Linked DNA regions of Macaca mulatta. The protein of the gene in region 1 interacts with the protein of each later gene in a pairwise test. Links are inferred from orthologs where the notes say so. Each region holds a gene or a part of one and is shown in the gene's direction. Other genes may lie near its edges.

Evidence for each region.
Region 2: the proteins of VAPA (region 1) and PGRMC2 interact in binary tests that used the Homo sapiens proteins (3 or more experiments, as listed by UniProt). The link is inferred for Macaca mulatta from reciprocal best matches to the Homo sapiens genes VAPA and PGRMC2.
Region 3: the proteins of VAPA (region 1) and APOD interact in binary tests that used the Homo sapiens proteins (3 or more experiments, as listed by UniProt). The two-hybrid records come from large-scale screens. The link is inferred for Macaca mulatta from reciprocal best matches to the Homo sapiens genes VAPA and APOD.
Region 4: the proteins of VAPA (region 1) and ZBTB22 interact in binary tests that used the Homo sapiens proteins (3 or more experiments, as listed by UniProt). The two-hybrid records come from large-scale screens. The link is inferred for Macaca mulatta from reciprocal best matches to the Homo sapiens genes VAPA and ZBTB22.
Region 5: the proteins of VAPA (region 1) and ADGRG7 interact in binary tests that used the Homo sapiens proteins (3 or more experiments, as listed by UniProt). The two-hybrid records come from large-scale screens. The link is inferred for Macaca mulatta from reciprocal best matches to the Homo sapiens genes VAPA and ADGRG7.
Region 6: the proteins of VAPA (region 1) and CACNG1 interact in binary tests that used the Homo sapiens proteins (3 or more experiments, as listed by UniProt). The two-hybrid records come from large-scale screens. The link is inferred for Macaca mulatta from reciprocal best matches to the Homo sapiens genes VAPA and CACNG1.

The regions. Positions count from the first base shown.
Region 1 is NC_133423.1:80,874,930-80,879,122, forward strand, and holds the start of VAPA (vesicle-associated membrane protein-associated protein A), read left to right. Parts: upstream 1-1,393; 5' UTR 1,394-1,618; coding exon of another isoform or gene 1,619-1,697; intron 1,698-1,930; exon of another isoform or gene 1,931-2,693; intron 2,694-4,193. Other genes in the region: uncharacterized protein LOC114673840, read right to left, coding at 658-703, 904-1,175. UniProt on the Homo sapiens protein: Endoplasmic reticulum (ER)-anchored protein that mediates the formation of contact sites between the ER and endosomes via interaction with FFAT motif-containing proteins such as STARD3 or WDR44.
Region 2 is NC_133410.1:137,052,446-137,056,572, reverse strand, and holds the start of PGRMC2 (membrane-associated progesterone receptor component 2), read left to right. Parts: upstream 1-1,327; 5' UTR 1,328-1,341; coding exon 1,342-1,759; intron 1,760-4,127. UniProt on the Homo sapiens protein: Required for the maintenance of uterine histoarchitecture and normal female reproductive lifespan. May serve as a universal non-classical progesterone receptor in the uterus.
Region 3 is NC_133407.1:3,201,951-3,205,450, forward strand, and holds part of APOD (apolipoprotein D), read left to right. Parts: intron 1-1,743; 5' UTR 1,744-1,771; coding exon 1,772-1,894; intron 1,895-3,182; coding exon 3,183-3,304; intron 3,305-3,500. UniProt on the Homo sapiens protein: APOD occurs in the macromolecular complex with lecithin-cholesterol acyltransferase. It is probably involved in the transport and binding of bilin. Appears to be able to transport a variety of ligands in a number of different contexts.
Region 4 is NC_133409.1:148,971,354-148,975,404, forward strand, and holds the start of ZBTB22 (zinc finger and BTB domain-containing protein 22), read left to right. Parts: upstream 1-1,251; 5' UTR 1,252-1,318; intron 1,319-1,451; exon of another isoform or gene 1,452-1,543; intron 1,544-2,209; 5' UTR 2,210-2,278; coding exon 2,279-4,051. Other genes in the region: DAXX (death domain-associated protein 6), read left to right, coding at 1-211, 404-463. UniProt on the Homo sapiens protein: May be involved in transcriptional regulation.
Region 5 is NC_133407.1:182,983,380-182,987,606, reverse strand, and holds the start of ADGRG7 (adhesion G-protein coupled receptor G7), read left to right. Parts: upstream 1-1,427; 5' UTR 1,428-1,673; coding exon 1,674-1,788; intron 1,789-4,227. UniProt on the Homo sapiens protein: Orphan receptor.
Region 6 is NC_133421.1:76,795,624-76,799,653, forward strand, and holds the start of CACNG1 (voltage-dependent calcium channel gamma-1 subunit), read left to right. Parts: upstream 1-1,230; 5' UTR 1,231-1,423; coding exon 1,424-1,652; intron 1,653-4,030. UniProt on the Homo sapiens protein: Regulatory subunit of the voltage-gated calcium channel that gives rise to L-type calcium currents in skeletal muscle. Regulates channel inactivation kinetics.

The DNA.
Region 1 (4,193 bases):
CACCGGACCCAGAAGTATGGCTGGCTTCACCTCTCACTCCAAGGAACCACATGGCTGAAGACACATTCCTCCTGGGTGGCACGATCTTCTGTGAATGCCAGGCTAGCGATTCCAGCAGGCTAACGATTCCAGCGATTCCTCTGATACCTGGATCCCACATGAAAACTTGGACTTGGTGCCTACATCTAGACTGCTGTTTCGTCTCATTTATTTTCTAGACAAACTGTGCTGCTCCACAGCGTTAGCATCAATATGTCTTTTGTTTCGTGGAGCTTCCTAGGGATTTAAATTCAAACCGTATCATAAAATACAATAAAGGTTTATTTACAGCACATTGGTTTCATTTGACGTTCCTGTACCAGACTACCGTGGCAATCGGCTAAAGTTTTGTCAACAAGTTTGCTGCTGGGATTTTTCTCATTTGGTTCAGTTTACTACCGCCTATCATAAGTGATGCAGATGGGTTTCGTTTCTAACATGTGAACGTGACAACTGTTTTGGTTTGGATCCATCATTAATCAAAACTGAAGAAGGTTATTGGGTTCGATGGTGTAGATTTGGACTTTTATTTCTAGCTTCTGTGTGCTTTGTCATATTTCCCCTTGCTTCCTAGACGAGATGTGTTTCCTTATCTGATTTTGCATCACTGGAGACAACTCAGGAACCAGGAGAGGCTGGATTGGATACCACAAGGAATGCAGCCCTGCCAACAGAGGGACGGATAGAATTAGAGCAAACGGACACATCCCCCCAGCCTGTTCTCCACAGGGCAGATTTTATTAGTATATTTCTAACATATGGGCCTCGTTTCAGTCTTCAAAAGTTTTTTTTCTAGCGCAAACTAGACGCGCTCTGAGCCAAAATTAGCGTCCGCGAACCCCACCCCATTCGCCTCCAACGGACCTAGCTCGCCTTTCCGCCCACAAACAGCCGTTACTACAGTTCCCAGCAAGCACCGCGCAGGGCCGCAAAGGGCCAGGCCCTCGGCGAATGCCCCGCCCCGCAGAAGGCATGCCGGGAGTTGTAGTGAGTGGGCGCTTCCCCACTGCTTCTTGTCCCTTCCACTGGGCATTCCCACTTGGAAGACTGTTAAGCGCTGCCAGAGCAGTTTCTCTAGTTCCGTATTCGCAGCTCAAGGTGACAGAGGACTGCGCCGCCAGCCCTGCGCTGCGCATCGCGTCGGCCCCGCGGACCTTTGCCCCGCCTCCCTCCACACCCGTTCCCTTGACAGCTGGGCTGCGCACGGGGCCGCGGCAAGCCGCGAGCGCGCAGGCGCAGCAGCCCCGCGCCGCGCTAGGCCGGCCTGGAGGGCGGGACGAGCGCTAGTGGCTCCTGGCCGCCGGGGCGCGCACGTAGGCACGCAGAGGCCGTCACGTGGGGCGCCGAGGATCGCAGTGCGCGTGGCCGTGGCGGCTGGTGTGGGGTTGAGTCAGTTGTGAGACCCGGAGCTGGTGACCCAGCGGGTGGCCCACCGAACCGGCGACACAGCGACAGGCGTCAGGGCTCGGGAGCTGCGAGCCTGGCCTCGTCTTAGAGCTCGGCCGAGCCGCCGTCGACCCCCGCCCCCAGTCAGCAAACCGCCGCCGCGGGCGCGCCCCCGCTCTGCGCTGTCTCTCCGATGGCGTCCGCCTCAGGGGCCATGGCGAAGCACGAGCAGATCCTGGTCCTCGACCCGCCCACAGACCTCAAATTCAAAGGTAGGCAGGACGGGGACACCCCAGGGCTGGCTGGGGCGCGCGGAGGGCTGGCGGGCGGCGGGGGGCGCGGAGGACAACTCGGCCGCCCCGGCCAGAGGGAGCGCCCCCTCCCCCACGCCCCGGCGCCTGCCCTCTCCCGGCTGCTGCCTCGCCGCCGCCTCGGCCGGCCTGCCCCTTGCTCCGGCCCGCTTCGTCCCCTCCCGCCCGCCCGCGCTGCGGTGCGCGCGCCGGCCGGGGCGAGGCGGACGGGAGCCGGGCCCTGGCGCGGCCGCCGCCGCCGCCATCTTGCGGTCCCGCGGGGGCGCCTCCTGGGTGTCCGGTCCCGCCCGAGCCGCCGTCCGCCCGGGCCCGCGTCCCTGGTCCCCGAGGCCGACGGCGTGCTCCGGCGGGGCGTGGGCGGGTGGGCATCGGCGGGCGTGCGCTCTGGGCTGCGGCGGGGAGTGGGCTCTGGAGGTGGCGCAAGCTGCGTCCGTCGCCCGCTCCCGGCTGTCAGCGGCGCGGGGAGGCCAGGGCGCGGCGCGGGACCCCTCGGGAGTGAGACCGCCCCTCGGCCCCTGCCCCGGCCCGGGCAGAGCTGGGAGCAGCCGGCCCTCGGGCTCCGCGGAGCGCGTCGTTTCTCACCTTTCCGCCCGGCTTAGAACTCGGCCGTCAGGTGTAGGGCGCGCCGGGGAGGCGGAGAAGCCCTGGAGGTGCCTGGCGAGGGCTGCCCGGTGCTGTTGGCACGGACCCAGGCGCGTGCGGGCAGCAGCGATGCGTCAGCTGCGAGCGGAGAGTTGTAGGTTCATAGTAAGCGGGGCTTCCTGCCTTCCACGACATTTCAGTGTGCCACCCGCGTGCTTTTATTTAGCCCTTCGGTTGCGCTCCTCTGCTGAGAAACCTTCAGTGCGTGTGACTTTTGCTTTTACGTTTGCGGTTGCCGACAGATCCTGAGAGGCCTGATAAGGTGTGACCCAGCTCTGGAGCTTTGTAGGTTTTTATTTTGTAGCGCTGCCTGTGGTAAGTTTTTAGTCTGACTTGGTGATCCTGGAAGAATCCCAGGGGCTGTTTGGTGCCTTTCCTTAGTCGATATGTGTTGTACTTTAGGAAAGAGAGTAAAACTGTACAGATTTTTTTTTTTCTTCTGTATTCTTAAGGAATACTGAAAGAGTGTGAACATCTGATAGAAAGTAGGTTTCTTCCTATCTTAAGTGTAAAGTGAGGCCCGTTTTGGAAGTCTATGTCTTGTATTTCAGTTGTTGAATGAGAACAATTTTTGTGAGGTGCATAGCAATTCTAGTGCTAAAAGAAAAAGTTAAATCCTTTATTGTTGTGTGAGGTTGAGTCCAAGAGAAGACCAACTACATTATTTCCATAGGAAAAACTTCAGTTTTAGGAATTTAAAATATATTCTGGAATTATGAGATTAATATTGCGTAACTACATTGCAAGCTTTTTAGTGCATTTACAAATTTCTTTGAATAGAAGTAAGTGTAAGCGAGCTACTTGTTGGGTAAGGATTTGGTTTTAAGACAAGGTGCAGTGAATGTATTTTATTGCAAGTTTATGTAAGTTGTGTGATTTTTTTACGTAGTTTTAGCTGGGGGAAAACCTTTGAGGAATTATGAAAAGTCCTAACTCAGCCATTATCTCGAGATAATTTAATGTAAGCCTGTATGATGTGTTTTTTAATATTTCGTTTTTATCTTTTGATTGGCCGTGTTTACAGTGAACATTTCCTCTACTGGATAACTGTGTAAGTTGCCATGAGGGACTTATAAGTATGTGTAAGTTGCCATTAGGACAGTTTTAGGCCAGGAAATGTCCACAGTTTGAAGTTTTTTCTCCTTAGGGAAGTTGTTATGTTGCTATAGTAAGAGACTAATAATAGTGGAGAAGCAGGTTTAAAAAAACAAGCAAAAACCCTACACAGTGACTTACTCTCATATTTCCTTTTTTGGGGGTATTGGAGAATTACAGCTATGATTATAGAACACGTTGTTCTTGTGTTGCCAGTAAAAATGATAAGACTAGCCAGGGAAACAGAAAAGGTATATAGATGGTATAACAGAGACTCAACCCTGTCTGAGGAAAGAAGCCTTCTCTACGTGCCCCATCCCTCCCTTAGGAAATTTTTAAGGAAAAGGCTCGTTTTTCATTTCAGGGGAGGTTTAGGCCAAGAGAGTGGTTGAGTAAACACACTGCTGTGAGAGAATGCCTGGTACTTAAATGCCCAATAGTTTGTTGTGTGTTTCAGTTTAAAGACGGAGATAATGGGGGGGATTGGGAGGTGACATTTGGTGTCTGGTTCCTTAATATTATTTTTTTAGTCAAAGGTAAATTGTTTGCTTGATGGAAACCTTTGTGTATTTAAGTGCACAGCTCAACACTGAGGAGACTCATTTAGAATCTACAGTCTACTTGTGCTTAGTTTGTGATAGAAAAAAATCGTTTAACTGACTTATCCTAAATCATTCAAAACTTTCTTTTTAAGTGAAGGACTTTAAAAAGACAGTTTTG
Region 2 (4,127 bases), on another chromosome or scaffold:
GCCCTTTACAAAAAATGTTTGCCAACCCCTGCTCTAATGTCTCCACTAGCTCTGAGTCTCCTCACCTCACGCACAAATACCCTAGCCTACTGATTTCCCACTCTTTCCCCTGCCTCTAATCCTTCAGACATCTGGCTGCTATATAACCTCTCTACAAGAGTATCGACCCTGTCACTTGCCCCATCAGTATCCTCAGTGGCTCCTCCAAAACCGACAGTGAAAGGTTCAAACCTATCCTATGAGACTCAAGACAACAGACAAGGGCAAGAGAGAACACGTCAAACGAGTCGAGTGCGTGAGACTTCAGAGGTCACTTTTTCACACCAGAATTTTAAGGTGTGAGTCGTCCCAAGTACAAAAAACAGAATCTGCAAATAAGAGTGAATGACGAATAGAAAGACGACCTCAACCTGTCCACTTCCCTACGGCCGCAGAGATTATGATTCAAGGAATAACGAGACTCTAAATCCTTTAAAATTCTACAAGAGCAGCCTTGGCCAAACCCAGCGGGGAGTGGCTGCTCGGTGCCAGGGCGAGGAGCACGTAGACTGCCGATGCCAGAGAAGCCCGGTGCGGGCTCCGTGCTTTCTCTCCGTTCCAGGAAGACCCAAGCTCGTCGCCAAAACTTCTCGCCGCTTCCCGGTCTGCGCGCCCAAGCTGCCAGTTTCCCGAAAAACGCCACAGCGCCCTGGGAAAAAGCAGATGCCCCTCATGGGTTTGCGCCTTGCAGCTCAACTATGCCCCAGCCTCCCACAAGCCACCTGTCCTCCGCCAGGCGTCCCGCCCGGATCTGCCCCCGCCGTAGCCGCCAAGGCGCACGTGAAGCTCCCGGGCGGAGCGAGCGCAAGAAGGCGGGAGTTTGCGGACGCGAACCCAGGCCTGGGAAGCGAAGCGATTCCGGGGCGCACGCGCAGAGCCAGGGAACTGGAGGGGCGTGCCTCCCGTAGGGGTTACGGAGCAAGAGGAGAGCGCGTGGCGCTCAGGAGCCCGCGCACGCGCTGTGGTCTCGCCCCGCCCAAGAGCGTCCGAGCGGCCGCCGTAGCATCTTCTCTTCAGACCCGCCCCCCTCGTCTACTTAACCTAGCGGAGGCTTGCAGCTAGAGCAGGGAAGTGTGGGGCGAGGTGGGCGGGGCGTCGCACGCGTGCGCGGCCAGCGAAAGAAGGGAGGCGGCGGGAGAGATCCGAGACAACGTTACCCCGTCAACACCCAATCAGGAGCGGCCCTGACCCCGCCCCCTCTCCTCACGTTATTGGCTGGGAGGCCCCCAGATGGGCGGGGCCGGCCGTGGGGTTGGGGGGGGCAGGGGGCGGGGAGGAGGAGGAAGGCGCTGGCGGGCAGTGATGGCGGCGGGTGATGGGGACGTGAAGCTAGGCACCCTGGGGAGTGGCAGCGAGAGCAGCAGCGACGGCGGCAGCGAGAGTCCGGGCGGCGCGGGAGCGGCAGCGGAAGGGGGCGGCTGGGCGGCGGCGGCGTTGGCGCTTCTGACGGGGGGCGGGGAGATGCTGCTGAACGTGGCGCTGGTGGCGCTGGTGCTGCTGGGGGCCTACCGGCTGTGGGTGCGCTGGGGGCGGCGGGGTCTGGGGACCGGGGCCGGGGCGGGCGAGGAGAGCCCCGCTGCCTCTCTGCCTCGCATGAAGAAGCGGGACTTCAGTTTGGAGCAGCTGCGCCAGTACGACGGGTCCCGCAACCCGCGCATCCTGCTCGCGGTTAATGGGAAAGTCTTCGACGTGACCAAAGGCAGCAAGTTCTACGGCCCGGGTGAGGAGTTGGAAGGGGAGGGGAAGGACCCACTACAGCTCAAGCACGACCCCCTTCGGACGGGGAGGCCTCTGGGCACCGGGTTAGTTTGCCCAGCCTTCTCGTCGCCTGGACCCCCGCGCCTCGGCCGCCGCACCTGGGACGGCCCGCCCCGCCCCTACGCATACGCCGCCCCCCCGCAGCTGCGGGCACCTCCAGCTCTTCTCCCGAAACCAGGGTCCCCGCTGGCGCCCCAGCGACCAGCTCTCAGCATTCATCTTTCTTCCATGCCATTTCTCCTCGCAGCCTTTTTTTTTTTTTTTTTTTTGGCTGGATTTTTCAAAATCGTTACATTTGTCACCGATCAGCGCTGGCCCTTAACCTCTTTTGAGTCTCCTAATTCCTGGGGTGGTTGGGGCACCAGGGAAGGGAGATTTCTGAAGTTGGGACCTAAACTAAAGTTTTACGCTCTGTAATTCACAGCTTGCTTTTCCTTGCCCCCGCCCCACGCTCCTTTTTTTTTTTTTTTTTGGCCACTGATCTCCTTTTTCCCTCGCTGTATTGCTCTCCGTAAGGCCACGTTTAGGGGCATGTAAAGTCCCAACCCTCCAGTCTCTGAAGTCCGGACGAATAAGCAACACCTCGGACTCTTTTTAAACCAGTTTTAGTTCGGAGTTGCTTTCCATGATTAACAAGGTATGTGGGATGAGGACAGACCAGAATGCAGAGCTTATTAAAGACTGGTAAGGATATTCGCCCTGAGTTTTGGGGGTGGAGCTCCTATACCCAGCAGGCATGTCTCTCGTTTCTTTTTTTTTTTTTCTGCTTTTCAAGTACACGTTGATAATGACTTGTGTTTTCACTTAGCAGAACTGAGGAGAAAAAACTTAGAAGAGTCGTAGATTCATACCCCCATGTGCCAGTTATGCAAGTTAAAGATTTTTAGAAATTTGTTTTCAGAGAACTTTGTGTAGGGTAGTTGATTTAGAAGCCCTTGTTTTACAGTGTGGTTATAGCATACATTTTGGATTATGTTAATAAACTCCAGACTCATGGAACCTGTTGGTATATCATAGAGTTGAGCAACACTGTACATCCTGGTTGTGCACTGATTAGTACTAAGCTTTAAAAAAAGAAAAGTGGTGACTACAATAAGAATAAATAATTAAATTAGAGACCTAAAGTGACCTGGTATTGGAGAGAGTACATCCAAGCCTTAAAGTCACAGGGTTGGCAGTCTGGAAATAAGCTGGTTTTCTCCTTAATTTAATCTCTAAGTGTTTGAGATTTATTGACACTTAAAAATATATACTTCTGATTTCAGTGGTTGGTAGCTGGAAGATATTTTAGAAGTGCTTTGGTTTGTAGTTTGTTCATTGGACTAGAGATAAGAAATAGGAGATTTTTGTTGTTGAATTACGTAATTTATTTCTTAGTTGTTTGTACTTCTGTGTATATATACACATTTAATCCAACCAAGTGAATACATAGCTTACAGAGTTTTTGCTTCTAGTTATATAAATGTGAACACAAGGTGTCTACTGAAATCTTATATCAGCTGAAATGGTTAATACATTTTTGTTTACTTAAGCACATGTGGGACAAGAGAGCAGGGCCAAAGTACAGTATTTAAACAGGCCAAGTGAAGTAAACTTTTTTTAAATCAAGGATTTACACAGCATTTTATACCTAGTTCAAGCTTTTTCCCCATTAGTATTAAAATGTGTGTTAAGTGATTAGAAATCCTGTACAGGTTTAAATTTTTAATATAGACCTTACCCAGCTGAAAGATCAGCTTTTGTACCCTCTGTCTGAACTGCCACTGAAGAAAACAAAGTATTAGTACAAAGAATTGTATTAGTCCTCACACATTATGCCTTGGCAGTATCTGAAAATAGTTAGGAGAGACAGTCATAGAGACAGTTTGGCAGCCTCCAGAGGCAAATGTTTGTTCTGTGATAGAAATTAAAAATTAAAGCCAGGCGCGGTGGCTCACGCCTGTAATCCCAGCGCTTTGGGAGGCCGAGGCGGGTGGATCACCAGAGGTCAGGAGTTCGAAACCAGCCTGGCCAACATGGCAAAACCTCGTCTCTACTAAAAATACGAGAAAATCAGCCAGGTGTGGTGGCCGGTGCCCGTAATACCAGCTACTCGGGAGGCGGAGACAGGGAGAATTGCTGGAACTCAGGAGGTAGGGGTTGCAGTGAGCCGACATTGCCCCATTGCACTCCAGCCTGGGCGACAGAGAGACTCTGTATTAAAAAAAATAATAAAAATTAAGAGTCATAGGTGGTAGATTGCTTTTTTATGGTAAGTGCACTGAGGGAGGCTCTTGAGATTACAATGGAGAAGTCAGTTTTAGATTAGTTTCTGCCAGTTCCTAGGTTCT
Region 3 (3,500 bases), on another chromosome or scaffold:
GACTCATAAGAAAGCAGTTATAATTATTCCTGTAATGACACATCCTTTGAAATGCTCAGATCTGAGAACATTTTGCTTGCATTGCATCAGTCATCATCATTACAGGGAGAAACGCAGAGAGCTGGAAATAGCTCATGTGCAAGCTACAGGCAAGGAGTCATAAGGAAAGGAGCAAATTGACAGCAAGTCAGTGAAGGAAACGGGGGAGCTTCAAATACCCAGAACCTGCACACAGTTCTGCAGCCTCCGTCTCCCCGCCGCCTCCGTCTCCCCGCCGCCTCCGTCTCCCCGCCCTCCGTCTCCCCGCAGCCTCCGTCTCCCCGCAGCCTCCGTCTTCCCGGCCTCCGTCTCCCTGCCCTGCTGCCCCGCTTCAAAGCCAGCTTCTGCTGCCAAAGGACTCTTGGGGTTGAAATGCCTGTTGCACAGTTACACATCAGCCGACAGTCCTTCTCTGATTTAATGAACTTCATCGATGAAAAATACCCTCAACAGGCCAGGTGCAGTGGCTCAGGCCTGTAATCCCAGCACTTTGGGAGGCTGAGGCGGATGGATCACCTGAGGTCAGGAGTTTGAGACCAGCCTGGCCAACATGGCAAAACCCCATCTCTACTAAAAATACAAAAATTAGCCAGGAGTTGTGGCAGGCACCTGTAATCTCAGCTACTCGGGAGATTGAGGCAGGAGAATCACTTGAACCGGGAGGGAGAGGTTGCAGTGAACCGAGGTCGCGTCAGTACATTCCAGCCTGGGTGACAGAGTGAGACTCCATCTCAAAACAAAACAAAACAAAACAAAAACCCTCAACAGAATGTCAAAAAAAAAAGAAAGAAAACAAAAAAAAGAAACAGAAACCTGCGAAACCATCATCTTTCTGCTTTTGATAATAACAGTAAGGAGCATTGACTGAGCATTTACTTTGTGTCAGACACTCCCCTAAGTACTCTCTCGATATTATCTCATGTAATTCTCACAAAAATTCATGAACTAGGAATGAGTATTATTCCCACTTACTAGACAAGGAAGCTAAGGCATAAATTGGACACAGTTATACTTAGCATGGCCAGAGTCAGGATCTGAACCTGGCTGGGTGACCCTGGGGTCCCCAGCAGGCCGCTCCCTGTTAAGGTTTCCAAGCGCACTCTTGGGCTGGTAGAGCAGCCAGCAAGCTGAGGGCAGGGGGAGGGGTGTCACAGAGCCATCTCCCCGAAGAATCTCGGAGACACTAAGTGTTGGGCAAGGTTTGGTTTGGTTTTGTGTCTTTCATGGTTCGCTTGGAGGCTTTAATTTCCCACTTTACACAGCCCCCTCCATGTCCCCCACTTTACACAGCCCCCTCCATGTCCCCCACTTTACACAGCCCCCTCCGCGTTGTTTCTGTTCATTTGACAAGTATCTACTGAGCCGACACTCTGAGGCCCGTGGGTGATTCTGAGGAGAACCAGACACGGTGCCTACCCTGGGAGATGCATAATCAGGTGGGAGTGGGGTGCAAAATCAATCCAACAAACTGGAATAGCAGGCGGAGAGTGCCCTGGTGGAGGTGCAGAGGCTCCGAGGAAAGCCTCACAGCAATACGGACAGGCAGGTGTCCCCTGCAGGATGCGGGTTCACATGGGCTTGGGAGAGAAGAGGAGAGACCGCCCACAGAGGGGCCCGTGGGCACAGGACTCTTGCTTCATGATTGTGTGGACTTAGGAGGCTCAGAATGACAACCCCAGCTGCTGTGTGTTCCTCTAACTCCAGGTCCCTTCTCCAGCCACCCAGCCCCAAGATGGTGATGCTGCTGCTGCTGCTTTCCGCACTGGCTGGCCTTTTCGGTGCAGCAGAGGGACAAGAATTTCGTCTTGGGAAGTGCACCTCGCCTCCAGTGCAGGAGAATTTTGACCCGAATAAGGTAAAAGGTGAACCTCCCATTTGTTTTGCTGCCTCTGATGTGAACAAGCATTCTACAAGATTCAATTTAATTATGCTGCTTTAATTTCCACTGCACACCTTGGGACACATATTTATCTTATTTGGGGTTTCCCCAAAGCGGACAATCTGCTGAGACAAAGACTGGGGGCAGAGAGGTTCGGGGTGATCCCAGGACGCACAAGAGCAGGTGGGAAAGTGAGTCGGAGTCAGCACAGAAGCAATAAAGGGAGCATCCATGAGCTGTCACCCTGGGCCGTCAGGGTCAGTCACACTGGGCACCCTCTGAGGACAGGTGGAGCATGCTCCTCCGATTGTCCATCAGCTGCTGCCCGCAGGCCATGGGAGCGTCTGTGGCGCTAGCCAAGCCCCCTGGCAGAGGACAGACACAGCGCCTCATCCCCATCACCTCCCCAAAGCCTTGGTGACCAACTCCCTATTCAGGGTGGATGAAGAAAGTTCCATGCACTCTGGAGTCCTAGCTCCCCACAGCAAACACATCTGACTTTGCACAAGATTTGAAGATGACTTGTAGAATCATGCACTGTTTCAGAAGAAAGTTACTTCCCATCATCCCCCTTTATTTTTTTCTTTTTCTTTTTTTGTTTTTTCCTGAGGCAGAGTCTTGCTCTCTCGCCCAGGCTGGAGTGCAGTGGCGTGATCTCGGCTCACTGGGACTACAGCCGCCCGCCACCACGCCCGGCTAAATTTTTGTGTTTTTAGTAGAGACAGGGTTTCACTAAGTTAGCCAGGATGGTCTCCATCTCCTGACCTCGTGATCCACCCGCCTCAGCCACCCAAAGTGCTGGGATTACAGGTGTGAGCCACCACGCCCGGCCAATTTTTTGTATTTTTAGTACAGACGGAGTTTCATCATGTTGACCAGGATGGTCTCGACCTCCTGACCTTGTGATCCTTCTGTCTTGGCCTCCCAAAGTGCTGGGATTACAGGTGTGAGCCACCGCACCCAGCCCCATCATCCCCCCCCCCCCTTTTTTTTTTTTTACAGAGTCTAGAATGTCACAGCAATATTGGCTGAAGGGGACACTGAGAAGAGCGCTTTGCTCAGCATTCACCCCCCCCGCCCACACATCCCATCCTAGTCACGGATTCTCATTTCAATTAATCTCTTGCCCAGTTGCCCCTGGGAACAATGAGGCCCATTTTTGTCTGGCTTCCCCAGGACAGGGCTCAACTTCTGCACAACAGTGCAGAAAAGGTTGCAGGTCCCCAGAGAACCACAGGTTTTGCTCTGCTTGTTGTCTCTGCAGTATTTCGGAAGATGGTACGAAATTGAGAAGATCCCAACAACCTTTGAGAAGGGACGCTGCATCCAGGCCAACTACTCACTAAAGGAAAATGGAAAGATCAAAGTGTTAAACCAGGAGTTGAGGTGAGTGGCTGTGGCTATCTGGGGCCAGGCCTGTGGAGTGCGGACCCGGAGTGACCAGGTGTCCGGCAGCCTGGGTCAGGGAGGATGGGATCCTTGCCAGGTCTGGACTGCCTGCTCCTAGCAGGAATTGAGAGGAAAGCATTTGTCAGGCAAGGATGGCAAGGACTAGGATCCACTTATGCGTTTCCATGACCAC
Region 4 (4,051 bases), on another chromosome or scaffold:
GCAAAGGTCAGTGCATGAGAAGAATGGGAAAAAGATATGTACCCTGCCCAGCCCACCTTCCCCCTTGGCTTCCTTGGCTCCGGTTGCTGATTCCTCCACGAGGGTGGACTCTCCCAGCCATGGCCTGGTGACCAGCTCCCTCTGCATCCCTTCTCCAGCCCAGCTGTCCCAAACCCCCCAATCACAACCTCCTCGGCCCAGTACTTACAAGGTAAGAAGGGGAGGCCGTGTTTCCTCTGATAATTTGTTCTCTTTCATTGTCTGTTTCAGCTGCTCTGTCTGAATATTGCACCTGCCACATCCTGTCTCTTTTTCCCACCCGTTTTATCCTGTAAATCCTCCTGTCTGTTTCTTTTCTCCTGTACTCTAGATCTCTGACTCTTTGTCTCTGACTTCCCTGCAGACAAGTGTGGCCACACAATGCGATCCAGAAGAGATCATCGTGCTCTCAGACTCTGATTAGCTGCCTCCCCTTCTCCCTGCCTCCAGAATGTTTTGGGATAGCATGTGGAGGAATGTGGGAAGCAGATGACTGAGGAAGGGATGGACTAAGCTAATCCCCTTTTGGTGGTGTTTCTTTAAAAAAAAAAAAAAAGCTTAAGTTTTACACAGAAACATTAATAATAAAGTTCTTTTCTTACTGTATCACTGTCTTTTTCTTGTCCTTCTACTGTTACAGATTGGCATTAGCTGTCCCCTTGCTCAGGGTTAGCCCAATATCCCCGGGGTAGTCCCGATCTGTCCTTTCTAGCCTGGTCTTTTGTTGTTGTTGTCTCGCTGTGTCGCCCAGGCCAGAGTGCAGTGGTGCGATCACAGCTCACTGCAGCCTGGACCTCCCAGTCTCAAGTGATAATGCCCCAGTCTCCCGAGTAGCCGGGACTACAGGCGCGTGCCACCATACCTGGCTAATTTTTTGTTTTTGTTGTTTGTATTTTTTGTAGAGACAGGGTTTCGCCATGTTGTTCAGGCTGTACTTTTTTTTTTTTTTTAAGTGCTTCAGCCGCCTTAACGCACTTTACTTTTTCACTTCGTGCAGTAGGAGTGAAAAAGCCAATGAGGGGCCGACTCAAGGTTATTTGGCCAATCCAGGCCCGGAGAAAGGGGGCGGGGCTTCAGGGGGCTGTAAGGAGCTAGGAAAAGGGCGATTAGATCCCACCAACCAGCTAATGGTCACAGCTCAGAGGCGGAGCCTGGGGAACGATACCTGAACCCATCGCCAATGGGAAAAGACAGGCTTATAGCTTTAAAGGGGAATAAATGCTTCGGCCGAACCAAGTCCTGAGTTCCCAGCGGAGGAGGGGGAATCTGATCTTTTAAGGTGGAATGAGGCGACGGTTCTTTAAAGGCAAAGTGGCCGAGTCGGCCGAGTATTGCCCAGCGGCACGGGCGGGGTGGCCGGCTGTGCCTTTAAAGGCAGAGGGGCGGGAGGCGGAGCGGAGGCGGAGGGCGGAGGAAGTCGGCGCAAGATGGCGGCGGGAGGGGCCCAGGCTGCTGCTCTGGCCGCCGAGTGAGGGGCGGGGGGGGCCCGGGGGCGCGCGGCCCGGTAAGCGGGGACGCGCGAGGTTGGGGGGCGCCTTCCGAGTGGGAGAAGTGGCCGAGGTAGCGCCTGGGGCGGAGCGGGGGGGGCGGGGTCCGTTGTGGGCGGAGGTAGACAAGGGGCGGGGTCGAAAGGCCCGATAGTGGGCGGGGCACGGGGGCGGGCCTGGAAAGGGGCGGGGCTAGAGAGAAGCTGGGGTGAAGGGGGCGTGGTCGACGAGAGAGCTTGCGGGGCATAGCATGGAGGGGAGATGGAGCAAGAGTTGGTTTTCAGTAGCGGAGCTGCCCTGCCCCCTCCCAAAAAGTGGGTGCAAAACACCAAAAAGGTAGATTTTGGAATGTCAGACTCCCAGGTAAATGGGAAATAGGGTGTAATTCCGAAGGAAGCCACTCCACCCGCTAAGAGCACCTTATTTCTCTAACCTCCAAGGAAAGGGCACAGGATTTGTCAGATACCTGTGTTTGCTGGCGGTGCCAATTGCTGTGTGACCTTGGATAATCTTGTAATCTTTCTGAGCCTCAGTTTCCTCATCTGTCAAATGGGGTTGAGAGGAATACCTACCTCACTGTTGTGGGGAGTTACACAGATAATGGGTGTGAACATATTTTTGAGTTGTAATGGGCTGTGTCGTTATAAGATGTTATCATTATTCTTTTCTCTTTTTCTTCCCAGAGACCCCCCCGGCCGCCCTCTTCCTTTCTTTGTTCCTGTGGCTGGGGGGGTATCCCCTCCCTCCACAACATGGAGCCATCTCCTCTGTCTCCCAGTGGGGCAGCACTTCCCCTGCCGCTGTCGCTGGCTCCGCCCCCACTACCCCTGCCAGCAGCTGCTGTGGTACATGTGTCCTTCCCTGAGGTGACCAGTGCCCTCCTGGAGTCCCTCAATCAGCAGCGTCTGCAGGGCCAGCTCTGCGATGTGTCTATCCGAGTGCAGGGCCGTGAGTTCCGGGCTCATCGGGCTGTCCTGGCTGCCTCCTCCCCTTACTTCCATGATCAGGTCCTACTCAAGGGCATGACCTCCATCTCACTGCCCAGTGTCATGGACCCAGGCGCCTTTGAGACTGTCCTAGCCTCCGCTTACACTGGCCGCCTCAGCATGGCTGCTGCTGACATTGTCAACTTCCTCACAGTGGGGTCTGTGCTCCAAATGTGGCACATTGTGGACAAGTGCACTGAACTACTCCGAGAAGGCCGGGCCTCAGCTACCACCACCATCACTACTGCTGCAGCCACCTCTGTCACTGTCCCTGGTGCTGGGGTCCCATCCGGGAGTGGGGGCACTGTGGCCCCTGCTACCATGGGCTCTGCACGCTCCCATGCTTCCAGCCGGGCCAGTGAGAATCAATCTCCCAGCAGCAGCAACTACTTCAGCCCCAGGGAGTCCACTGATTTCTCATCTTCCTCTCAAGAGGCATTTGCAGCTTCTGCAGTGGGCAGTGGGGAGCGTCGAGGAGGTGGCCCTGTGTTCCCAGCCCCTGTCGTTGGCAGTGGGGGGGCCACATCTGGAAAGCTGCTGCTGGAGGCAGATGAGCTGTGCGATGATGGTGGGGATGGGAGGGGGGCAGTGGTTCCTGGGACTGGGGTCCGGAGACCCACCTACACACCCCCTAGCATCGTGCCACAGAAACACTGGGTATACGTGAAGCGAGGTGGTAATTGCCCAGCACCAGCACCGCTGGTTCCCCAAGACCCAGATCTGGAGGAGGAAGAGGAAGAGGAAGACCTGGTGTTGACCTGTGAGGATGATGAAGATGAAGAGCTAGGGGGTAGCTCCAGGGTTCCAGTAGGGGGAGGGCCTGAGGCTACCCTCAGCATAAGTGATGTCCGTACCCTGAGTGAGCCCCCAGACAAGGGAGAGGAGCAGGTTAACTTCTGTGAGTCCTCCAATGACTTTGGCCCATACGAGGGTGGGGGTCCTGGGGCAGGTCTTGATGACTCAGGGGGGCCAACTCCCTCTTCCTATGCACCCTCCCACCCTCCTCGACCACTTCTTCCCTTGGACATGCAGGGCAACCAGATCTTGGTCTTCCCGTCGTCTTCATCCTCCTCCTCACAGGCTCCTGGCCAACCACCAGGGAACCAAGCAGAACACGGGGCAGTGACTGGGGGGGGCACGTCGGTGGGGAGCCTGGGTGTGCCGGGTAGCGTTGGGGGGGTCCCTGGAGGGACTGGCAGCGGGGACGGGAATAAGATCTTTCTGTGCCATTGTGGGAAGGCCTTCTCCCACAAGAGCATGCGGGACCGGCACGTGAACATGCATCTCAATCTGCGGCCGTTTGACTGCCCCGTGTGCAACAAAAAGTTCAAGATGAAGCACCATCTGACTGAGCACATGAAGACGCACACAGGTCTCAAGCCCTACGAGTGCGGAGTCTGCGCCAAGAAGTTCATGTGGCGAGACAGCTTCATGCGCCACCGAGGACACTGTGAGCGCCGGCACCGCCTGGGTGGGGGCGGAGCCGGACCTGGGCCTGGGACGCCCACGGGGCCTTCCTTGCCTTCTAAGAGAGAGTCT
Region 5 (4,227 bases), on another chromosome or scaffold:
TCACTGCAGTATTCAATATATCACAGGGGACATTCGACACTTTATTATAAAACAGACTTTGTGATAGATGATTTTGCCCAATTTTATGCTATTGTAAGTGTTTTGGGCACCTTTAAGGTAGGCTAGTCTAAGCTAGGATGTTCAGCAGGTTAGGTGTATATTTAATGCATTTTGACTCATGATATTTTTAACTTAAGGTGGATTTATTGGGATGTAATCTTATTTTAAGTCAAGGAGCACCCACGCTCCATAATAATTAAATTTGATATCTTTTATTTTAACAGTTATGACTTGCCTTATAGGTGGCTATATCTAGGTATCTCACCCCTGAGAAAATACGAGTTCTTTGAGGACCCTGTTCATTTCTTGTACCAATTCGAACACATTAAAGGGATTTAATATGGATTTGATGAAGCGAGGGAGTGTCCAGAGAAGACCAGAGCACCTGTTCTCTCTACCAGAACAAAACTGTGATTAAGGAGGTGAATGTTCGTTTATCTGTTCTTTCAGGTAAGGGTGGAGGATAGGGAAGGAGAACATGGGAGCCTGGGCAGGGGAGGGTCAGAGCTGCATCTATAGAGAGACACCAGTTTGTAATTACTCTGATGATATATTAGCTTCCCAGGGCTGCTCTAATAAAGTACCACAAACTGGATGGCTTAAACAACAGAAATTTATTGTCTTACAGTTTTGGTGGCTAGAAGTCTAAAGTCAAGGTGTCAGCAGAGCCAGTTCTTGCTGAGGACTCACTCTTTGGCTTGTAGATGGCCGTCTTCTCTCTCTGTCCTTCTGATCATCTTTCTCTATTCATGTCTGTGTTCAGATTTCCTCTTCTTATAAGAACACCAGCCATATTGATTAGTGACCACCCTAACAAACTCATTTTAACTTGATAGGCTCTGTAATAACCATATCTCCATATAAGGCCCCATTCTGAGGTACTGAAGGTTAGGACTCCAACATATGAATTTTGGAGGGGACACAATTCAGCCTGTAGCAGATGGGTTATCATGCTGGGCTTTAGTGCTTTTCAAGACCCACCCTGTGCCAGTATGCCCACTCACCAACTGCATCTGTCAAAATGTAGGCTCCTTAAAGAAATGAAAGCATTAAAATCACATGTGGTGATTGCCATTTATCCTCTTGTTGACAAACTAGTTCATTTCCCTGAGAGAGTGTTTTGTGTGGTCTGAAGCACCTGCCAGTCTATCCGTGCTGTACCCTCCCAAGACAAAAACACAGGAAGCCGAGCCGTAGGTGACCACTGGCATCCACTGCCTTCATGATTTCCTCTTTGGTTTCTTCGGTTTTGTTCCCTTGCTTCACTCTGTGACTTGTCTGGACATTCACTCTTTGACCCTTGTGGCTAGTCCCTCCCCTTCTTCTTTATTGCCTGGAGTTATCTCCCTATTCCCATAACTCTAATCACTTCTTTCACGTTCTCCTTCAGTGAAGGATGAGGAAATTGAAAGCAGAGTATGCACGTTTTATTAGGAGATTCAAACGGCATCCTACTGCATTAGCCTCAAAAGTCCTAAAATATAAAGACATCCATCTGACAGATCACTGAGGGGAGGACTTATTTTTCTGTTTTAGAAGTTTCTGATTAAACTCAAGAAGAAAAGAAGCTAGTTGTTTCTCACCCAGGAGTGGATTTGTGGTTTGGCTTCACCATGGCTTCTTGCCGTGCCTGGAACATTAGGGTGCTGGTGGCTGTCGTGTGTGGGCTACTGACTGGCATCATTTTGGGACTGGGCATCTGGAGAATTGTGATCAGGATCCAAAGAGGTAATGTCCTGCTATGTTTAACTCAGAGTAAGAGAAGGCATGGGACCTCTGTCCCTGCCACCTGAGGCACAAGTACTGGGAGGTGCCTTGTCCAGTCTGAGGCATCCCAGCAAGATGCCATTTATGGGATATAAAAGACCAAGTCAGTTAAGCCTAGCAGATGGTTGAACAGAAATGAATAGGTGTGGGTGTGAATGGGGAGGGGGAAGAGTGACATAATTGAATTGGCGTCTTTATGCTCTTTTAACTCCAGACTGAATTGGTAGAAGAGTAATAATTAAAACAATTAGTAACACATGTTTAGGTCTGTTGGGTTAAATTAAGGAAAGGGTAAATCGTTATGAACAAGGACACACACATGCAGCAAACACGTACACACACGTGCATAACACACACACAATCAAACATGCACAGAATAGAATTTCACTTTAAGAGAGAAGTTAAAGAAACTCATCACCAAGGTTTAAGTGAAATGATCTCATGGTTTGCACACAAATTTCCCACTTTCCAGATGTAGGAAATTAATCAACAATTTAAAAATCATTTTTAAATGACTTTCCTGATTATTCAACAAATATTTATTAGTTCCCCACTGTGTGCCAGAGCTGGCCTGGAAAAGGAGGACGTGGGAGGGGAAGTATTGAGTAAAACAATGATGTTAAAGCAAAGCCTGCTGTAACTCAGAACAGAAAATTTCAATGATCCTAATGCTGGATCCCTTGGGCTGTAGAGCTTCTCCATAAAGGAATTCAATATTGGATGGGCTGCATACTCCCTTTTGTAAAAATCAGAGAAAGCTTCTAATGAAACAATAAATAAGGGTAAGTGTCATGCACGTCCATGTGAAGAGACCACCAAACAGGCTTTGTGTGAGCAACATGGTTGTTTATTTCACCTGGGTGCAGGCAGGCTGAGTCCGAAAAGAGAGTCAGTCTTCAGCTGCTAAGCCGAGAAGATCTGGGAAGGAGTCAGTCAGAGAGTCTTGGCCCAGAGCTCCAGGGGCTCTGGGAGTGGCTGCCAGGTGAGTTGAACGGTCCGATTTCCAGTGGGGTCCCGCACAGATGGGACACGGCTTAGGAGGAATCCTGGGCTGCGGGCATTCCTTGGCCCAGTGGCCAGATTTCCGGCACTTGTAGCAAGCTCCTGGGGGAGGAGGTTCTGGAGGAACCCCTGGCAGCTGCGGTTCAGGTGTTTGGAGTTGTGTGCTGGAGATGTGGCTGGGGTTTGTCTCACAGTGGAGGCAAGGAATTGCAACTCAGAAATAAGTTGCTACTTGGCTGCCTCTACTATATTATTGTACACCTTGAAGGCGAGGTTCATTAAGTCCTGTTGTGGGGTTTGAGGGCTGGAATTTAATTTTTGGGGTTTTATTTAATGTCAGGAGCAGATTGGGTAATAAAATAAAATGCATATTGAAAATAAGATGGCCTTCTGACCTTTCAGGGTCTAAGGCTGAAAAGTGTCTCAGGGTTGCTGCTAAACGGGCCATGAACTGGGCCTCTAAGTTTTTCATATTTGATGAAAAAGAGCCTAAATGCTAACTGATTTGGGAGAGGTCGGATAAAGAAAAAGGAACATTAACCTTGACTATGCCTTTAGCTCTAGCCACTTTTAAGAGGAAATTGCTGGGCAGGTCGGGGAGGGCTAGTCGCGGAACGAAACTGTAAGCCAGACCCGTGTGAGGAGGGGAGGTGATAAAAGGACTATAGGGTGCGGGAGCAGAGACTGAGGAAAAATTGGGACCTAGCTTGGCCTGGCGAGGAGGGGAGAGGTCAGATGGGTCTGTAGAAAGGGATGATTTTTAGAAAGACTCACCGATGCTTGGGGTTGGGGCTGAGGGGACAGGTGGGAGGAAAAGAAGGAAGATTTGGGGCGAGTTGCATTGGGAACAGAGACTAGGGAGGGACCGATGTGTAAAAGAATGCCTGGACGTCAGGCACCTCAGACCGTTTGCCCATTTTACAACAATTATTTAGATCTTGCAGGATGGAAAAATCGAAAGTGCTGTTTTCTGGCTATTTGGAACTACTGTCGAGTTTGTATTGGGGTTAAGCAGCATTGTAGAAGAAAATAAGGCGTTTAGGTTTTAGATCAGGTGTGAGTTGAAGAGGTTTAAGTTCTTGAGAACATAGGTTATGGAGAACGAAGAATGGAGGGTGGAAGGTTGCCTGCGGTGAAGGAGGCAAGCCCAGAGAAAAGAGAGAGTGGAGACACAGAGAGAAGGAGTTCGGAGGTTCTTGCCCTCCAGAAAAGCAGGAAAGGGGTCGGGGAGCAGAAATAAGGTATTGGGGTGCCAAAATAAGAGATCAGGGTGCAAAAATAAGAGGGGGCACAAAAATAAGACGTCAGGGCGCAAAAATAAGAGGGGGCAAAATAAGAGATCGGGGTTCTTGCCCCTCCCCTAGAAAAGCAGAGAAGGGGTAGAGACAGGGAGAGAAG
Region 6 (4,030 bases), on another chromosome or scaffold:
GTTAGATAGTAAGCACTCACTGAAGATGAGCCACTGCTCCTATTATCATCATCATGAACTTTCTGTGATTCCAAGGCTGGAGGCCGAAATGTTTCTGTCCACATGGGCAGAGTCTCTGTAAATCGTGTCAATCTGAGGCAAGAATTTTGAAGTTCAAGGCCCCACCCAGCTCAGGAGGCTATTCCTGATCATGCATCAGCCTCTCGGCTACACCCAAAAAGGGCCACCCAGTGAGCTGAGAAGGGAGAGATGGCACAACCCAGGAGAGACGTAGAGGCCGCAGCCTCGGGGACAGGCCTGGGGGCCAGGCAGGCGCACAGGACCCTCGGAGGGTGGTCGATCCCAGGCTTTCTGTGTTCTCTGCCATATCCGCACACCCATGAGCTCCTGATGATCCCCTATAAATCAACCTATTCGTTCTTTTTCACTCACACACATATTTTGCAAATTAAAACGTAACTGGAAAATCGTTATCACCTGCTGTTAGTAGAAGGCAAAACCAAACACAGTGCCCTGAAAACAGAACAACCAAGTCCAGCAGGATTCCTCGTCCTCTTCAGGCCGTTCTCGCTTTGTTTCAGAGGACACTTTGCGGGCAGTAATGACACTGACCTCGAACGGAGCTCTGCTCTGGACCCAGTTTTGGGGATGGAAAGAGAATTGAAAAGGAAGTAATGTTCTCGTGGAGGGATCAGAGTTGGGTAAGGCCAGGCCTGGGAACCACCTAAAATCTTCCTGTGGTTTGCGGGATGCTGTGGGGTTTGTGGCTAAAACGCTTGCCTGAGAGGTGGACTCCACAGGCCCCGGACAGGGTCCCTGGGATGTCCCTAGACAGAATCCTAGGCCCCCCAGATCCCAGGATGAGAACCTACTCACTGCCCCGCCGGTAGTAGGCTTACAATGTGGGAGCCCGGGACGGCCGTGCAGCCTGCAGCTCCTGGTCTCCTCCCCTGGCCTGGGGTGCCCTTTCCCATCAGCCCAGAGCAGACAGATCTCCACCCCTGGGGCCCTGCTGCCCACCCCTCGCCCCCTCCCAACTCAGGCACCCTGAGCTGCTACTCCATAGAGGCCTCAATCCACCATCCAGAGCCTTCTCTCCTTGCCCCGCCCCCCACTGGGGTATTTCTGGCTCCCAGAGGGGCAGACAGCGCTGAAACCCGAGCAGAAGCCGTCCCCGGTGCCACGCCTGGAGAGGGGCATTAATAGCAGCCTTCCTCAGGCCCCTGACGCGTCTGGGCAGCTGCTCAGCACATCCCGCGTCCCTCAGCCCCAGGGCCAGCCCACTCTGGCTCAGCCAGGCACACTAAACTTAGTGGCCACTCCCAACTCGACAACCACCGCCACCCCCCAGCTCGGCTGTCACCTGCCGGAGGAGACGCAGCCGCCGGACCCTGCCCAGGGCACCCACGCCTCGGCGACCACCATGTCCCAGACCAAAACGCTGAAGGTCCGCGTGACCCTCTTCTGCATCCTGGCAGGCATCGTGCTGGCCATGACGGCCGTGGTAACCGACCACTGGGCTGTGCTGAGCCCCCACATGGAGCACCACAACACCACCTGCGAGGCGGCCCACTTCGGCCTCTGGCGGATTTGTACCAAGCGCATCCCCATGGACGACAGCAAGACCTGCGGGCCCATCACCCTGCCCGGGGGTAACGTACCCACCCTCCGTCCCGATCCCCACCTCCCGCCCTTCCCCGTCGTCCCCCGGACAAATTTGCCCATGCCAAGGAAGGCAGGTTTCTCAGGCTAGAGATAGGGCAGCCGCCCAGCCCTTTCTGCCCAGGGAAGAAGATCTGAATTGCATGTGCTGTGCTGGTGGCTGGGGCTGGGTTGTAAGACGAGGGCGTTTGTCCCAGCTATTTCTGTCTGGCTGGACCCTGGGGCTTTTCGCCCAGAACAGAGAGCTGGGCAGGCTCAAGACGGGAACCGCAGCTCTACCAGCCCAGGGACTTCTGGGCTCCATCTGGTCACTCTCTCCCTGCAAAGACATGCTGGGTGGCTCTGTGTCCTCAGGCTGGGGGAAACCATGGAGCTGGCAGGTTTGTCCCTGGCCTCAAGGCAGGGGAGGAGAGAGGACAGGCGACGGAATATGCAGGGTCCTGTGCAAAATGAAAATGCAGGGTTCCTTGCTCCAAATTACCAAGGATTTCAAGGCAGCGATAGCAGCACATGAATCCAAGCATGGACCCTTGTGGGCCCTGGGCCTGGAGAAGCTGCACAGGTTGAATGCCTGTGAAGCAGGACGTGGCTGTGGGTGAGCCACCTGCCCCTACCTTTTTTTTTTTTTTTTTTTTTTTTTTTTGAGACAGAGTTTTGCCCTGTCGCCCAGGCTGGAATGCAGTGGTACAATCTTGGCTCACTGCAACCTCCGCCTCCTGGACTCAAGTGATTCTCCTGCCTTGGCTTCCCCAGTAGCTGGGATTACAGGCATGCGCCGCCACACCCATCTAAGTTTTATACTTTCAGTACAGACGGGGTTTTGGCATGTTGACCAGGCTGGTCTTGAACCCCTGACCTCAGGTGATCCACCTGCCTTGGCCTCCCGAAGTGCTAGGATTACAGGCGTGAGCCACCGTGCCTGGCCTCCGCCCGCCCTTTTGTCAGGACGTCAGTCCATTATGCATCCTCCGTTAGCTCAGACCCTGTCAGAGTTACAAAGCATTTCCTCACCCTGTAATTTAAGCGTATTCCTCGATTTCCTACCATGTGACCGAACCACATGTCGAAGGTAAGCTCCTTTTCAGGAGTACCTGGTAGTTGCATGACTAGCCTCTATTCTGCAAATGCCGAGGCTTCTGGATTCTTAGCAAATACAGCACTTTAGAGGAAAGGGTGCTACGTGGAGACCAGGCGGCCAGGGATCTAGTCACCATTGCCCATTACCCTCAAATGACCATCCAGCGAGGACAAAGATCATCTCAGCCTCTGCTTCTTCCTCTATAAAATATGGGACTGACTCTCAGCAATGTAAGATCCCTTCCCAGGTTTACAGACGCCCATCCACAGTGGCAGTGGAGCAGGGTTATGTCAGTGTGATGTCCCACCTGGTTTTCAGGATTATTCCCTCTTTTACCAGACTTTGGTGTTCCTTGAAACCTGTCCTTCAAGGACACTAGGGCTGAGTCCCCAAAGATCTTGCAGTCTGCATGTGAACCAAAGAGCCAACACCCCAACCTCCCATATCTCTGCTCCCTCTTCTTTCCCTGCTGCTTGCTCCAGAGATCCCCTCCCTCATTCACGCCCACTGGACGCCCAGAAGACTCGTAAGTGCCCAACTGTTATAGAAACACCGAGTCCCAGGGCTGAGGGTGACAGGTGTGGCCATGTGCTGGCAGGGTATCGCATAGCCCGGATGCCCATGCCCCTTGGCGACTGCCAAGCACACCCATAAACAGGCAATCCCTCCAGCCAACTCCCCTGGGCAGGGCAGGGCAGGGCAGCTTCTTCAGGGACCGCGCATAGGGACGTGCTGTTACAGTCCTGTTCACCCGTCCTTGGAACCATCTGCCTTTTAAAGTCAGAGCAGAGGACTGGGCAGTGAGCAGAGTCCACACAAGGAAGAGACAGGCTGGTGAGAGGTGACTAGACCAATTACAGGGGACCAACAGGCATTGCTTGTTGGACCAACAGGCCTTGAGCCTGACCAGGATCTACCTCTTTGCCTTCTTAGCCTAACCAGCTATGAACCATACTTCCCACACTTGTGACACTGAGCACTACCTTTCTCCCAGTCATCTTCCAAAATATGTTCCTGCCTTTTTCCCTCTCTTTTCTCTGCAAATGGACATCTTTCTCCTTCCCCATATGCCCTTCTTGTGCCCCCTGGGACCATTCTTGTCTGGAGGGAGGAAGCGGGTTCATATGTGGCCTCTCATTTATTATTAACAACAACAACAATAATAATGGCACATACACGTAACCCTATGTGCCGAATATTGTTGTAAATGCTTTACATGTTTCAACTTTGAATGACATCACGAAAAAGATGATAGAGAAAAAGAACTTCCAAAAATCTTCTTCTCCATAA